Oreochromis niloticus: one gene and its partner. The main gene of each other region encodes a partner of the protein of the gene in region 2 in a complex. Links are inferred from orthologs where the notes say so. Each region holds a gene or a part of one and is shown on either strand. Other genes may lie near its edges.

Evidence for each region.
Region 1: polr1b (region 2) and polr2f share a complex: the UniProt entries of both Homo sapiens proteins name them as parts of the pol I pre-initiation complex. The link is inferred for Oreochromis niloticus from reciprocal best matches to the Homo sapiens genes POLR1B and POLR2F.

The regions. Positions count from the first base shown.
Region 1 is NC_031969.2:9,906,619-9,914,111, reverse strand, and holds the start of polr2f (DNA-directed RNA polymerases I, II, and III subunit RPABC2), read right to left. Parts: upstream 3,028-7,493; 5' UTR 2,887-3,027; coding exon 2,867-2,886; intron 2,674-2,866; coding exon 2,604-2,673; intron 2,473-2,603; coding exon 2,342-2,472; intron 502-2,341; coding exon 430-501; intron 314-429; coding exon 223-313; 3' UTR 1-222. Other genes in the region: MICAL-like protein 1, read right to left, coding at 3,936-4,060, 4,236-4,279, 4,356-4,470, 6,272-6,345, 6,433-6,523, 6,627-6,753, 6,954-7,076, 7,205-7,493. UniProt on the Homo sapiens protein: DNA-dependent RNA polymerase catalyzes the transcription of DNA into RNA using the four ribonucleoside triphosphates as substrates.
Region 2 is NC_031978.2:25,915,716-25,922,687, reverse strand, and holds the start of polr1b (DNA-directed RNA polymerase I subunit RPA2), read right to left. Parts: upstream 3,065-6,972; coding exon 2,888-3,064; intron 2,510-2,887; coding exon 2,342-2,509; intron 2,262-2,341; coding exon 2,115-2,261; intron 2,033-2,114; coding exon 1,900-2,032; intron 1,822-1,899; coding exon 1,685-1,821; intron 1,602-1,684; coding exon 1,378-1,601; intron 1,286-1,377; coding exon 1,114-1,285; intron 1-1,113. UniProt on the Homo sapiens protein: Catalytic core component of RNA polymerase I (Pol I), a DNA-dependent RNA polymerase which synthesizes ribosomal RNA precursors using the four ribonucleoside triphosphates as substrates.

The DNA.
Region 1 (7,493 bases), on a different chromosome or scaffold from region 2:
TATAAACAACATAATAATTTGTTTTGCACTATTTTGAGTCTTTAAGTAGTCCTAGGCAGTACAACTCATGTATACAGTCACCAGAGAAATACGGCGACTGGATCTGGGAGTGGGCGTGAAGGACACTCCTCCACTGGGTTTGTGTAGCTGTCAAACCAGTTAGGATGGTGGCTGTGAAGCAGCTTAGGCTGATCTGTCAGCGTAGACTTCTTCATAAGATGTTTAATCAGTTATGATGAGCTCGTCGCAACCCCAGTCCTCGTAACTCCCATCGGGAAGGTACCTGCGGATGATGATGGGGATCTTTCTGCTCCTGTCGGTGAGGACAAAAAGACAGAGATACTGTTACAGTCACCTGCTCTTTAAATAATGTCACTCACACATAAAAAGAGAAATGACATAAAGTCATCAAAGAAAATGATGGCTTACTTTAGTTCTTTCATAGCTATCTGCAACGGGTCTGTTTCTCCCTCCAGCTCCACCATAACTGGAGCACACATCCTGTTGGAGACAAGTCAGCAGGTAAACCACATCATTACAGTGTTGGAGCCTTTTTTCAATGCTCAGTCTACAAACACCATATCTTCTTCTTTTGGGTAATTGAGGGTTAGTATTTAAGGAAGTCTGGGTTAATCAGTGACAGGTCCAAGTGCTTTAAGAGGAAGCAAGTCATTTTTGATCGTGCTTTACTTTGTGCCGCAGAGTTTCCTTTCTCTTTTTTATTAATTTGGAAAGGTTTATAGAAGGTAAATGAGAGGCATATACTACAAATGAAGTTCAACATAGTGCAGGGAAAACCTAGCTATCTGGCTTGACAAAACCTAAAACCCCAGTCAGAGATGGTAGGTGTCATCACAGAACTGTTTTTGTTAAGTCAGGCTCTTTGTGTGTTCACATATAAGAAAGGTGGCGTCCGACACGATATTTGACTCTCCTTTAGTGCAGAATGGGTCAAGTGAGCATCAGAGACATTTTTAAGTTCTACAGGTAGCATTTACAAAACATCTCACTTCAGCAGAGAATCTATATCACATTTACAGCCTACTGGAAATAAAAAAATCAGTGAAAATGTGCCACTTCTGAATGATTTTAAACTAAAACTTTAACCATAACATGCTGCTGACCAGGCTGTGTGTTTAGCATAATTTACTGTGGTGATCTGGCCAGGTCAAAGAAAAGCCATCTTTGTGACACTGAAAACGCTTAGCCTCGTCTTACCTTGCTAACCCATTAATCTCACTTTGTAGTACACACCTAAGGTTAAGATCAGAAGGTGCTCACCTGAATCCAACTATCATCTATAAAACATGAACTCTAATCACAGGTAAACTGATATTTCTGGTGCTAATTAACTTTATATTAACATGACATTAAATGCACCAGCTTCACTCAATTATTCATGATCCTTACCTTTGCTCCTACAAAAGACAAAGTAACACAGTGTACTATACCGGTGTACTACACTGCAGTACTCTTTTACATTACTCTTCAGCATAGATCTATATTCTATGACAAAACTTGACAAAAGGACCAAAAAAGTGTGGACGAATATTTTCAACATCTCACTCTCACCGACTGTGGTGCCGTACAACTCACTCTGATAGTTATGAAATGCTTTGAGCAGCTGTCAACATAAAGAACAACACTATGCTTATCAGTACACCTACAGGAAGAACTGCTCTGCATCACACAGAGTGTTGTACACTTCGCTCTCATAAACACAAAAGTGGAAACTCCTATGTCAGGTTGTCAGGAAGATCGGGAGACTGGTGTGGGAAACATAACCTCTGTATCAGTCGGACGTGGAACGTTAACACCTCCAGCATGATTAACCTTAAACCTAACCATGAGGCAGGCCTGCCTTAACAGCCCAGTGCTGGCAGCAGGTGTGTGGTGGAGAGTACAATTACTTTCTTTATCACCACCTTGAACAGGAAGTGGTCTACTGCTGACAGGAAGTTACTGCAGAAAGTAATGTCAGCTGTGCAGCAACCTCATCTCCTCTCCCTTCCATTGAGGACATTTGTCTCAGCAGGTGCAGTAGTAGTGCCTTGGATCATGAGGGAACCCACCCACCCAGCAGAGTACCAAGGCCATAGGTCACAAGGCTCAAATGCAGCTTCTTCCCAGAGGCTGGAGGATTGGTGAACTCCATACGTCAGTGGTTGCGCTTGCACTGTTTTGCCCTGCTCAGTTTTCAATGTGTCTTGTTTTTTTTCATATTCTCTATTAATTATTTTTTAAGACTTATTCTTAAAGATAGGTTATTGTCTTGTCTGTTGCGGGAGGACAAATTTCATTTACATGTGGAAGCTGTAAATGACGATGAAGAAACACTCACGCTATCTGGAGGGCTCGTGTCCCCAGCACTCTGGCCCTCTCGTATTTGGTCATGTACGGAGTTGTGATCCTCTTCTGGTTTGCCTGTTGGCCCTCTCCCGCGGGCAGGATCTGCACGTTCTCCTGGTCATCCTGTTCACCAGAAAACAACCAACAATAAACATGATACAAAGGCAATCAGTAGTGCTAAAAATAAAACTGACGACAAACAACAAAAGCAAAGCAGTGTCTGTGCTGTCCAGTTAAGAGAGTCATCAACTTACGTCTTCCACGTTTTCGAGATCATCTAATCCCTCATCCTCCTCGGCATCATCAAAATCTCCATCATCGAAGCTGCAAATTTGACACAAAGTTTTGTTTTTAAAGACAATAAATGGATTCTAAAGACAGCAAATTGTCAATGAGTTTATACAAAGCAGTTAGCAGTGTGGCTAACCGCGTTAGCTACAATGTTAGTTCGCGCCAACTTATAATAAAGAAACAAGCATTTTAATATGAATTTCATTAAAGTGTCATCATTACTTACTTATCTTCGTTGTCGGACATGTTTTAACCTAAAGTTTACGTATAAAATTACTCAAACGGTAGAAGAAAGTCAACACACTTTGTTGTTAACACGGACCCACATGAACGCTACGAAGCTTAAACTTCCGGTGGTTTGGTGCGCTGGAAAATATTCCGGATGAAAGAGAGGAAAAGGAACTTTTGTTTTTCCTTTCCACTTGTACTCCAGTAAAATTATATTTATTTATTGTTTTTAAATCCCAAAAAACAAACAACAAAAACGTTGATTGTTGTAATTAAAATAAATAAATAAAATTCGCCATTTGTCGTACGAGCGGTATTTCTGTTTCTCTTTATTTTTGAGTGGCGTCAATGAGCCTGTAGCTTTTTATGACCTCTAATTTTACTTAGGAAAACATTCTTTTTGAAACTATGAGAAATAGATAATTTTCTTTGTTAACATAAATGCAGCTGCTTAAATGCCATTTAGCCTGGGCTTCGTTTAGACTTGACAGCCAACATGTTAGCTGGGAATCTCCACAGTGCCCGTTGTGGCCCAGTTTTTTCGTTAATGTTCAGACGTCAAACAACCTTTCAGAATAAGATCTTCTAGAACGAAAAATTAAGACTCATATTTTGAGTCACCAAGTATTTTCAGCCTCTCCTCTTTATTATTTTCCTTTTACTTAAAATCATATTGAAGAAAAAAAGACTGCAAAATTGAGAATGGACATAATCCTACATTACTGCTGTGTTAACAGGCACATTGTGCGTATATATAAAGTATTTTTTGTCTGTTTTTTGATGAATTCAAATGCACTACAGACAGTACTTAACATATGAGAAGATTTATTTCACACTTAAAAAAAACACAAGTATGTGATACAATATCATAAAAAATAAGATACTGACAATTTTTAGAGTGAAAAAGCACATTAATAATAATGTATACATCGTGCCGCCTGAGAACAATACATTTTGTTTGGTGATGTTACTGAGCTGGGCTTTAACACACAATTAGTAAGCATGTACTTAATAAGTGCATATTTCATACTGTTCACAGATGAACAATGAGAACTTCTGACACTTCTTCAACTCTTTTTGTCCACAGAGTTCTTTGTGCTTTCTTCTTTGTGGTTCAGGATTTTAAGTACTTTTGTGGGCTTGAAATCTTTTTTTGACTTCGTTAGCTCTTTTAATCCTTCTTTCTGGAAGTCTGAGAAGAGATGGAAGAGCAGCAAAACAAACATTAAGCAGTAAGCAAACATTGACATAGAGCATTATTTGTAATCCAGCGAATCCATTTCTTTCTGCCTTCGTTATACAGAAAAAAAAAACAGAAGATACAAAACAGTACCAAAGAGCTTTTATTAGAAGACTCGTTATCTTACCTTTATTCATTATATCTTCCCAAAGCACGTTATTTTCTCTCTCCCTAATCAGAAAAACAAAGTTGTACTCACATAAAATTTACAAATGCAAAAGCATAATTTATTTTTTTCCTTAAGTACCTCTGTCTGTCCTGATCCAGGCTGCTGATGATGTGGTTCCTCTGTTCAATGATGGTGACCAGCTCATCCATCAGCTTCTTCTCTTTATCTCGATCCTCCTGACTCCAGTTCTTGTCTGTGTGTGCAGATGATGACAATGAAAGTTCAACACAATAAGATTTCATTTAATAAATCAGCGATCTTCATTGGATTCCACTGATAGGATAGCAACAATATTCTTATAGAAACATATTAATTCATCTCAGTGCCTTTTAAGAGCCAACTCAGAGCCTTCTTGTAGTGTTTCTTGTTCTTGTTGCACCATTTAGCCTCAAAAAGCATGCCAGGATCCAGTATTACTTACCAGTCTGAGAATGGCAAAAGTATGTGACCCTCTAAGATTAACTGGTAATTCAAATATGTGATTAGAAACAAGTGTTTTCAGTGACAGACTTGACAATCAAATGTGAGTTGGTGTTTCTGTTTCTCATCAGGCTTGAAAAGTTCACAAAACCATCTCTAAACTGTTTGGACTTCCACCAGTCTAGACTTACAGTAGTGAGTTTTCAAATGGAGGAAATGCTGGAGCATTGTTACCCTCCACAGCAGTGGGCGTGTTGTAGTGCGGGAGGTCACAAAGGAACAAAGGTTAGTGAAATCTCAGACTCTGCTCCCTCACAGTGCCCAAAATTGGATCACTTTCCACAAAAAGAAAATGACCAAGTCTATTACTATGCCACATTTGTTTAACTGGGTCTTCTTTCCTTCTTTTAGGATCATCAACTATTCTTCTTTCCAGCTGCAGTCACCACAGTGTCTCATCTGCCTCATCAACACTCTGCATGTCTTCCTTCACTACATCTATGAATCTCGTCTGTGGTCGTCTTCTTAGAGCATCAGTCTTTGTCCTCTCTGTGGAAAAACAAACAGCTCCTCAACACCACAAAAACTAAGGAAACAATGGACTTCTGGAGAAACAGACCCTTAGCCTATCACATCAGCAGGGACTGTGTGGAGAGGGTCTCTGACTGAAGTTTCTGCGGCTGCATCTGGATGATGATTTAACCTGGAAAACCTACACAACTGTGCTGATCAAGACGGCACAGTGGCGACTTCACTTCCAGAGGTTTCCTGAAAAACAATTCCCTAGCCAAGGAGCTCAAAGTGTACAGGCGGAACGGTTTCCCAGTGTGGTTTGCAAGCTGCGCTGCTCAGGAAACACTCCAGAGGGTCATCAGCGCAGCCAGGAAAATCATCGACTGTGCTTTAGAGGACCTCTACAGGTCCTGGTGCCACAGTAAAGCCCACAGTATCCTGATGGGCACATCACACATTCCAGCTGTTACCCTCAGGGAGGCGGTGCAGTTGGAACAAGACAAACAGACTGGAAAAACAGCACATCTCCCAGAACTAATGTACACTGAAGAATTTCCCTCCTCTCACTAACCCGCGCAACCAGTACTCTTCAGCAGTGAACAACAGTCTAATAATAATGATACACACAGACACATTTAAACACACACAGATTGAGATTGTTAGATTGCCTTCTGTGCACTGAATAGGACTCCATACAATTTCACTGTACTTTTCTTACATGATCATAAAGATTCTACATGTTTAGATATCTCAGCCCCTCTAACTATGTCTCTGAACCATGTCACAGCAGGTCTCAGCTTGTAAACATTCCTTTTCACCGTTGCAGCCATGCTGTTACAAATCACCCCTGACACGCAAAAATCTGATGGCAGTTATGTCAAATTTCTGCTAAAGACCTTTCAACACGCCTACAGAACCTTGGATGAAAGACTATTGATCCCTGAATTATTTACAAGCACCCCCGGTAATTCCCCTTGACTATGGAGATCAGTAATTCCCGTTAATGTCAAATACAGTTGCTGATAAAAGTGACCGAACGATGCACAGAGCTACATACTAACCAGGTTTATTAAAGAGACACCGGAGTTCGTACTCCACGTCGGTCTGCCTGTCCTCCAGGTTTTTCTGCTTTGTCCTGAGAAATAGAAATTACACAGGTGTTTACGATGCTCAGAAAACAAGAAAAAAAAAAGAAAAGCCGCACAAGTGAAAAAACGCTTACAGATGAACCAGCTCCGTGTCGTGGCACATCAGAACATGCCGCTCGTGGATAAGAGAGAACCACTGCATTAGCATTTGTTCCTCCTGTTTATCTGAAATAAAAAAGCAGGGAGCGTCAATTTATTGGCATTTACTCAAAGCGGCTTCACAATATCGAGGATTTTGTGCCAATAAATGATTTTATTTAGGACGAACCATTTTTGCAGCCTCTCAGGTTCCTCTCCAGTTCCACTCCTTTTCCCTCCAGTGTCTCCAGATGTTGATCCACTTCTCTCATCTGCACCTGCAGCTCTTCTGGGGAAGTGCACTGATCTGTCTGCACCTGTCAAGCAATAATTCACACACACACAAAAAAATGCACAAAGTGACTAAACCTTGTTATTCTGGGTAAACTACTCAGTTTGCTCAAAACGTCTCGTGTTAATGATGAGTCTGCATGTACATGACACAAAGGCACATCTAGAAATGACTCAGAATTAGAGTTTGAGACCTTTGAGTTTGTTCTAAATCCAGCTGCTGTACCTTTCTCTTGATGAGTGGGAATCCATGGCCAGGTGCGGGGCCCCGACAAGGTGAGAGGTCCTGAATGGTATTTGATTTGGATAATGTGGGTCTTTGAGCCTTAGGATCTTTTTCACAGGAAGGCTGAAAATAAAAAAATATATATAAAATGGAAAACTGTAAGAAACGCCATGTGAGATTGTCCTCTGGTAGAACATGAAGATGTGTGTTATGTTTGGTCTTTATTGGTTAACTCTGATCTCTTGTCGTACCTTACTTTGCCACGATGTGGCAGCTTCATCTGTCTCTGTTTGACCGACAGGTGCAGAACGAGGGTCAGAGCGATCAGACGCAATGGCTGGCACAGAGAGACTTCTGGGTAAAATGCGACTCTGTCTTGAAGCAGGAATGGGACACGGACGTGCTGCTTCTGTCACATCTGACGGAGCAATCTTACCACCATCTCCACCTCCTTCACCACAAGTTCTCTCTGTGTTAGTATCTCCAGTCACTTCTTTTACTGGGTCAAGTTCTGCAACTTCACCACCCTCTCTGAGATCC
Region 2 (6,972 bases):
GTGTTGGGAAGGTTACTTTTAAAATGTATTCCACTGCAGATTACAGAATACATGCCCCAAAATGTATTTTCCACCGCCGTGGAATTACCAAAAGAGGGCATAGCCTAACATATGAATCAGGAAAAGACCGCCGTGTAATCCATTTATTTCAACAAAGTAAATGTATTCTGAATACCACCTTTTTAAACGGTAACTGTAACGGAATACAGTTACTCATATTTTGTATTTTAAATGCGTAATGCCGGTACAGTGGTCCCTCGTTTACTACGGGAGTTATGTTCCAAAAATAACCCGCGATAGGTGAAATCCGCGAAGTAGCCAACTTTATTTTTTTACAATTATAATAGATGTTTTAAGGCTGTAAAACCACTCACTACACAGTTTATACACTTTTCTCAGACAGGCATGAACATTTTCACACTTTTCACTGTTGTTTAAACATTTTCAAAGTTCAAACCTTCGTAGAAAAATAAGTCCAGTATTATAGAATGAAACCAAATCACCCGCGGTTGCCTTTAATGGTGCAAAACGTCTCGTCGACATTGTTGTGTTTGTTGGGGAGAAAACTTACAAACATACAGTGCAGCACTTCAGAGTCACACTGCTAGCGATCGAAGATTTATCTAAATTTAACAAGCTGAACGCATTCTGTACTAAACAGGAGACACGGCACGAAATTGATTGACAATGGTCTACAGCCAATCAGGATGCAGAACACAATGTGCTGGAAAAAAAAAAAACAAAAAAACAAAAAAAAAAAACACACACACATGGAAAATTGCACCAAAAAAATCATCGAAACAGCGAGGCCGTGATAGGTGAATCGCATTACAGCGAGGGACCACTGTGCATGTATTCCGTTACTCCCCAACACTGACTGTGGATATGGAGCAGTCAGGTAAAAGGACAAGAAGTAGTCCACAGAAAAGAAACATGAATGTAGTGAAGGAGGACATGCAGAGGGCTGCTGTGAAAGATGTTAGCGATCGGGTGAGATGGAGGCAAATGATCTGCCTAAGAGGAGCAGCTGAAATGCTACTACAGTCCTCCTGCTCAGCAAAAGAGAAAGGACAAAGACAAAAGAAAACTACGAAAAATATTGAAGATTCTTGCCTTCAGAAACATGAGGTAGAGCTGACCAGGAGTGAGCACTTCCTGGCACACGATGCTGTCGGGGTTTTCTTCCATGCACTCCTGCTTGGCAAAAGTGAAGAGCTTCCTTGTCATCAGACACAGCAGGTAGAACTTCTCCACATCTGACTTCAGGTGGATGCAGATACACTCACTGATCAAAACAGAGTAAGACCCTTTTTTTAAATAAACATACCACCAAAAAAAAGCAGAATAGTGTCAACTGTATCCATCCCCAGAGCTTACTTTAACAAGAAGTTGGCACACTGTTCATTTGTGTACCACTCAGGGAGGTTCATCTTAACCCTGAAGCGCTCTCCGAGGTAATTGAGCACCTTGCTGCGGGTGGTGCAGTTCTCCTCCGTGACGATGCGCAGCATCTCAGAAACACAGGTCTTGTAGAAAGAATTGTCCTCGCGGCCTTTGATCAGCTCCTGGTAGATCTGGAAGTCTGTGAAGTCCACCAGAGCCTGAGGAACATGACAGCAAATGAGCACACAATGAGCCTAAAGCATTTTTATCATAATCTGTTCTGTAATGAAAGCTTGTTCACCTTTAACGCAAAGCCTAGTGGGAGGAAGAAGAGCTCTTTCTGGTAGATGAAGTTCAGCATCACAGTCCCGTTTTCCAGATAATGCAGGTTCATGTTGATGGCTGTGTGCTCCTCCCTCACGCAACGCATAGAAATACCTGTGAGGAGAAAAAGCCAGTGAAAACATGCAGGCGTGGAGTCATTGCTGCACTGTTTTCTTTAGAAGTAATACTTACCGTACTGAGTGTAACCCTGACCCCTGTTCTTCCACTTGGGTCTTGACATGGCGATAGGATAGTTCCTCCTTGGCATTATCAGCATGCGGATAACCTTCTCAATTCCATTCACAATGAAATAACCTCCCATTTCCTGTCAAAGTTGAGGCTGGTATTATAGGACAATATTTAAACCCATCCTGGCTCAGTTTGAAAGTACAACTGCCATATCCTACCTCGGCTTCTTCGTGATGCTCTACGAGCTCTTTGGGGGACATGCCATGCAGGTTACACAGCTTGGACTTCACCATGATGGGCACATGACCCAGAGACTGCTTGATGATGCCTTTGGGAACTCCGTTGATCGACCAGCTGACGTCTGCCTGAAGTGAGGCAACACTCACCCAGTCAATATGGATTATTTTAATGTTGCTCTGGGAATATAAACACGACTCAGGCTTACCACTATTTTCCCTTTGTACGAGCATCTTCTTCCCCGGCACTCTGCTGGGAACACCTTCATTTCCTTGCAGATGTTCCCTTTGGCAACCACTGGGTTTTGGATGGCAGCTTCAACGAAACCAAGGCTGATCCGTTCATTTTTGAACATGAACTCTAAGGGGGGGATGGCCTGGGAAAGGTGACAGAAAAGTGAGAAACGTAAGAAAGGCAAAGATTATGGGAAGCAACTGCAAGAGGGATGTTCACAGCAGGTTGAGCTGAGAAAATACTGCTGGAGCTGATATCAGCAGCTAGTCGCCCAGCAGGAAACCAAATTCTTCACTCACTCATTTCATCGTTGTTATGGTGGCTTTCACTAACCTACCTACCTACCTACCTACAGTAACTCACTGCATATGACTGCACGGCGTGTTCAAGACAAGCTTACACAACTCCGAGTCACACAGTGTACGTAACTAATCGCAGTTTTAACTAGTTGGGGTTAATCGCTGGTCTTAATGAAGTGATTCATCACATTGTTGAAAACTTTAAAGAAACTTTTGCTGACCTGCACAACGCGGTTGAGTCCGTCTATGACCGCCTGGTCAAACGACTCGATGTGAGCTTTGGTCAGATCCTGAATGGCAGCATGCTGGGTGTCCTTCATGTGGCCAAAGCTTCCATCTGTCAAATTTTTCAGACTCGGACCTTTAGGAAGATCACTCCACTTACTTGAAAAATCCATGCTTACGCTTGTTTACCACATGTGCATGGTTGACACAGGAAGCACATGCCCTACACAGGAAGAGAAGCGTTTTCTTCTTCGCTTACGTTTTTTGAGTGTAAGTAGACTCGCTCACTGCTAGCTTAGCGCCATCTTCTGGGAGTAGTTATGCATAAAAATTCGTTTAGCTCAAGTGAAGCGAGTGGTGGTGATTGCGACCCTCTTCCAGGTGGAGGCGTTGTGGGACCAACAAACAGCGGTGGTTTTCAATGGAAAGAGAGGACAGAGAAACTGTGTTGATGGTGTTATAAGCTATAGAAAACATGATGTATGAGGTTGTGTGCTGGGTGTATATTTATGAGGAGAGGAGAAATAGTGTAAAAAGACTGGGTCCCGCTGTATTACTCAGGCTGCACTACAGCGTCTATTCACAGGCGCGATCCCACTACTGAGCGGCACGGGGGCTTTGACCTGCTTCGTTTCCGACCTGGGCCGGTGCACCCCTCCTTAGGCGACCTGGTGGTCCCGAGCTCCCCCAGGAGCACCATATCGATGCCGAACTTAGTGCGGACACCCGATCGGCATAGTCCGCTGCAGCTCAGAGCTCCTGAGCTCAAACGATCCGCCAGCCTCAGCCTCCCGGTAGCTTGGATTACAGGCGCGCGCCACCGCACCCGGCGAGAGGTGCTCTCGTTTATGCAGGCTTTAAGGTGTCTACACGTGACGTCATCAGAGAGGGACGCTCTATCCTCGCGGCACCTGCTCATTTAAAATAACATTATTATTATTCCATAAATAAAAAGGCTAAAGGTAAAGATTAAATCATAATGTTTCACATTACAAATTCAATTCAATTTTTTTTATATAGCGCCACACTGTAACAACCAATGTCTCAAGGCGCTTCATATTGTAAGGTAAACACGCTACAATAATAGAAGAATACAAGAAAATGACATATTGTAATGTAATAAAAGTGGATTGAAAATATGATTCAAAGTCTCACCAAGTTCAACCATTTTACTTTTCAAGGCTAAATGTTAGTAGGACACGTCCACAGATCAAACTGAAAAACATTTTCCCCTCCAAATCACTTTCGTGAAGACAATTCTTTGTCTTCCTGACCTTTGTCAGCTCCAGTTTGTAAAATCAATCTGTACTGGTTATCTTGACACATAATCCACAACTCCACTTATTACACTTTGGTTGCAGCAATCATTTTACACTACAACATTTAGTAAAGAAAAACAACAATAGTCTCCTTGAGCTGAGGAGTTGTTAATAAAACTGCTCTGTGCTGAGTCTGCATAATGACAGGAGGGTTTGTATGAATGCAAAAACTTTCATATAAAACAACTCTATTACCAGTTTGCTTCGTGCACAGGGAGTGGCAGTTTGAATATCCAGTGTCTGTACTGAATGATGCTACTTTAAGTGCTTGGTGATTTGGTGGACTGCCTCTATGTGATTAACAGACTGAAATAATGTTGTCCATGTTTCTCATCTTATCTGCTTTGCAATAAACGGTTCTTTAAAACTTCTTTAACGACTGAGCCTTTGCCTTGGGTTTGATGACTAAAGTCTCCACTCTAAAACGGGTGGATTATATTAAAATCTATGATTATTCACTCCAAATTATTTTTAGACACTATAACAGGTCATCCAACTAATTAGGCTGCTTTTCAATGTAACATTGTGATGTTTATTATACTGAATTGAAGTCTGCAAATATTAAAACTTAAATAACATTTGCAAACAGCATATTCCTTTAATATTAATTACCAGGCACTGCATGCAAGACATTATGATTGGGAGCTGAGCCGCCCTAAAAGTTTGAACCCAGAATGGCCCCAGCTTCTGATCTGCATTTGTAGTCATGTTCCCAGAGGAATGTGCCATATTCATTCTATTTGGCTAATGTTTCCTCACTTTTAACAGACTTCTGTTTGATAGCACATAAAGCACTGCTACATCTTAGTCAACCCATTTAATCCCACCGACAACAATTGTTGCCGTTTTAACCCCCATTACATTAAAAAAAAACTGTAAACATATTGTGTGTAGGGGAAGTCTAAGGACTAAAATGCATGCACTTATTTTACAAGGGAAAATTTGGGATTAAATGGGTTAAGTAATGAATTACAGGCTCTGTGTGCTAGAGCTTTAGAACCTACTGTCTTTCAAGACACTGGTGGCCAGCAGGCCAAGGTGGATGTAATATCGGGGGAGTATGTCTGTGCAGAGTTGTCTCATCAGTCACCTTTTTAATTGTTAATGTGGATTTTCCCTGTTTTGATTTATTTTCCCTTTAGTTTGATGTTGTTTGTTAGTCTGAGTTTTTCTTCAGTTGTGGCCAAACACATCAGCACTCTAAATATCCAGCACTGACCCACAGCTGTAAAGTGAAAAGGAAGTGAATTTAATGTGTTCTCAGCCAACCTTTACAATATCCTCAGCAAAAAAGATACAGTTAATATTATTTTATGTCGTTTCTTGGATGATTGGAGGCAGTAGACTACAGTCCAGTAATGACAGTGGGCATCAGTTGTTGTTCATTTGAGATTCTGGTAATTACACAAGAGACAAATTTGAGGGCTAAAAGTAAAATCCAGACAAAGACATGGCAGAATTTCAGTCTTTATGGCTGTTATCAGTCTGTGGAAGTATTTAGTCCTTAGGTAGGATGAATAAAGTCGAAATGTTTGTACATGTGATGTGCACTGCAGTAAAATTTATTATGAAGTCAAGACAAGCAGTTTAAGTAAATGTGACTTAGTTTTTATAGTCTCTTGATTTTTCCTTCTTTAAAAAAAATTATTTCAAAGAAGTAAAACAAAATCCAATTCTGTTAGTTTGGACAGATGTGTAACAATCCATCTACATCCATCCATTTCTTTTAGCCAACTTAAGCTTGTAGAAAGAAGAAAAAAACGTATAGGTGAATAGTTTCTGTGAAGTTGCAATGAGTGATGTAATTGCCACTCTTCTCCAGGTGGAGGCGCTGTGGGACCAACAAACCAGTGTTTTTTAATGGAAAGGACGGAGAGAAAAACTGTGTTGATGGTGTTATAAGCTGTTAAAACATGATGTATGAGGTTGTGTGCTGGGTGTATATTTCTGTGGAGAGGAGAAATAGTGTAAAAAGACTGGGTCTCGCTGTATTACTCAGGCTGCACTACAGCGTCTATTCACAGGCGCGATCCCACTACTGAGCGGCACGGGGGCTTTGACCTGCTTCGTTTCCGACCTGGGCCGGTGCACCCCTCCTTAGGCGACCTGGTGGTCCCGAGCTCCCCCAGGAGCACCATATCGATGCCGAACTTAGTGCGGACACCCGATCGGCATAGTCCGCTGCAGCTCAGAGCTCCTGAGCTCAAACGATCCGCCAGCCTCAGCCTCCCGGTAGCTTGGATTACAGGCGCGCGCCACCGCACCCGGCGAGAGGTGCTCTCGTTTATGCAGGCTTTAAGGTGTCCACACGTGACGTCATCAGAGAGGGACGCTCTATCCTCGCGGCACCTGCTCATTTAAAATAACATTATTATTATTATTATTATTACATAAATAAAAAGGCTAAAGGTAAAGATTACATCACAATGTTTCACATTACGCATTCAATTCAAATTTTTTTATATAGCGCCACACCGTAACAACCAATGTCTCAAGGCGCTTCATATTGTAAGGTAAACACGCTACAATAATAGAAGAATACAAGAAAATGACATATTGTAATGTAATAAAAGTGGATTGAAAATATGATTCAAAGTCTCACCAAGTTCAACCATTTTACTTTTCAAGGCTAAATGTTAGTAGGACACGTCCACAGATCAAACTGAAAAACATTTTCCCCTCCAAATCACTTTGGTGAAGTCAATTCTTTGTCTTCCTGACCTTTGTCAGCTCCAGTTTGTAAAATCATTCAGTACTGGTTA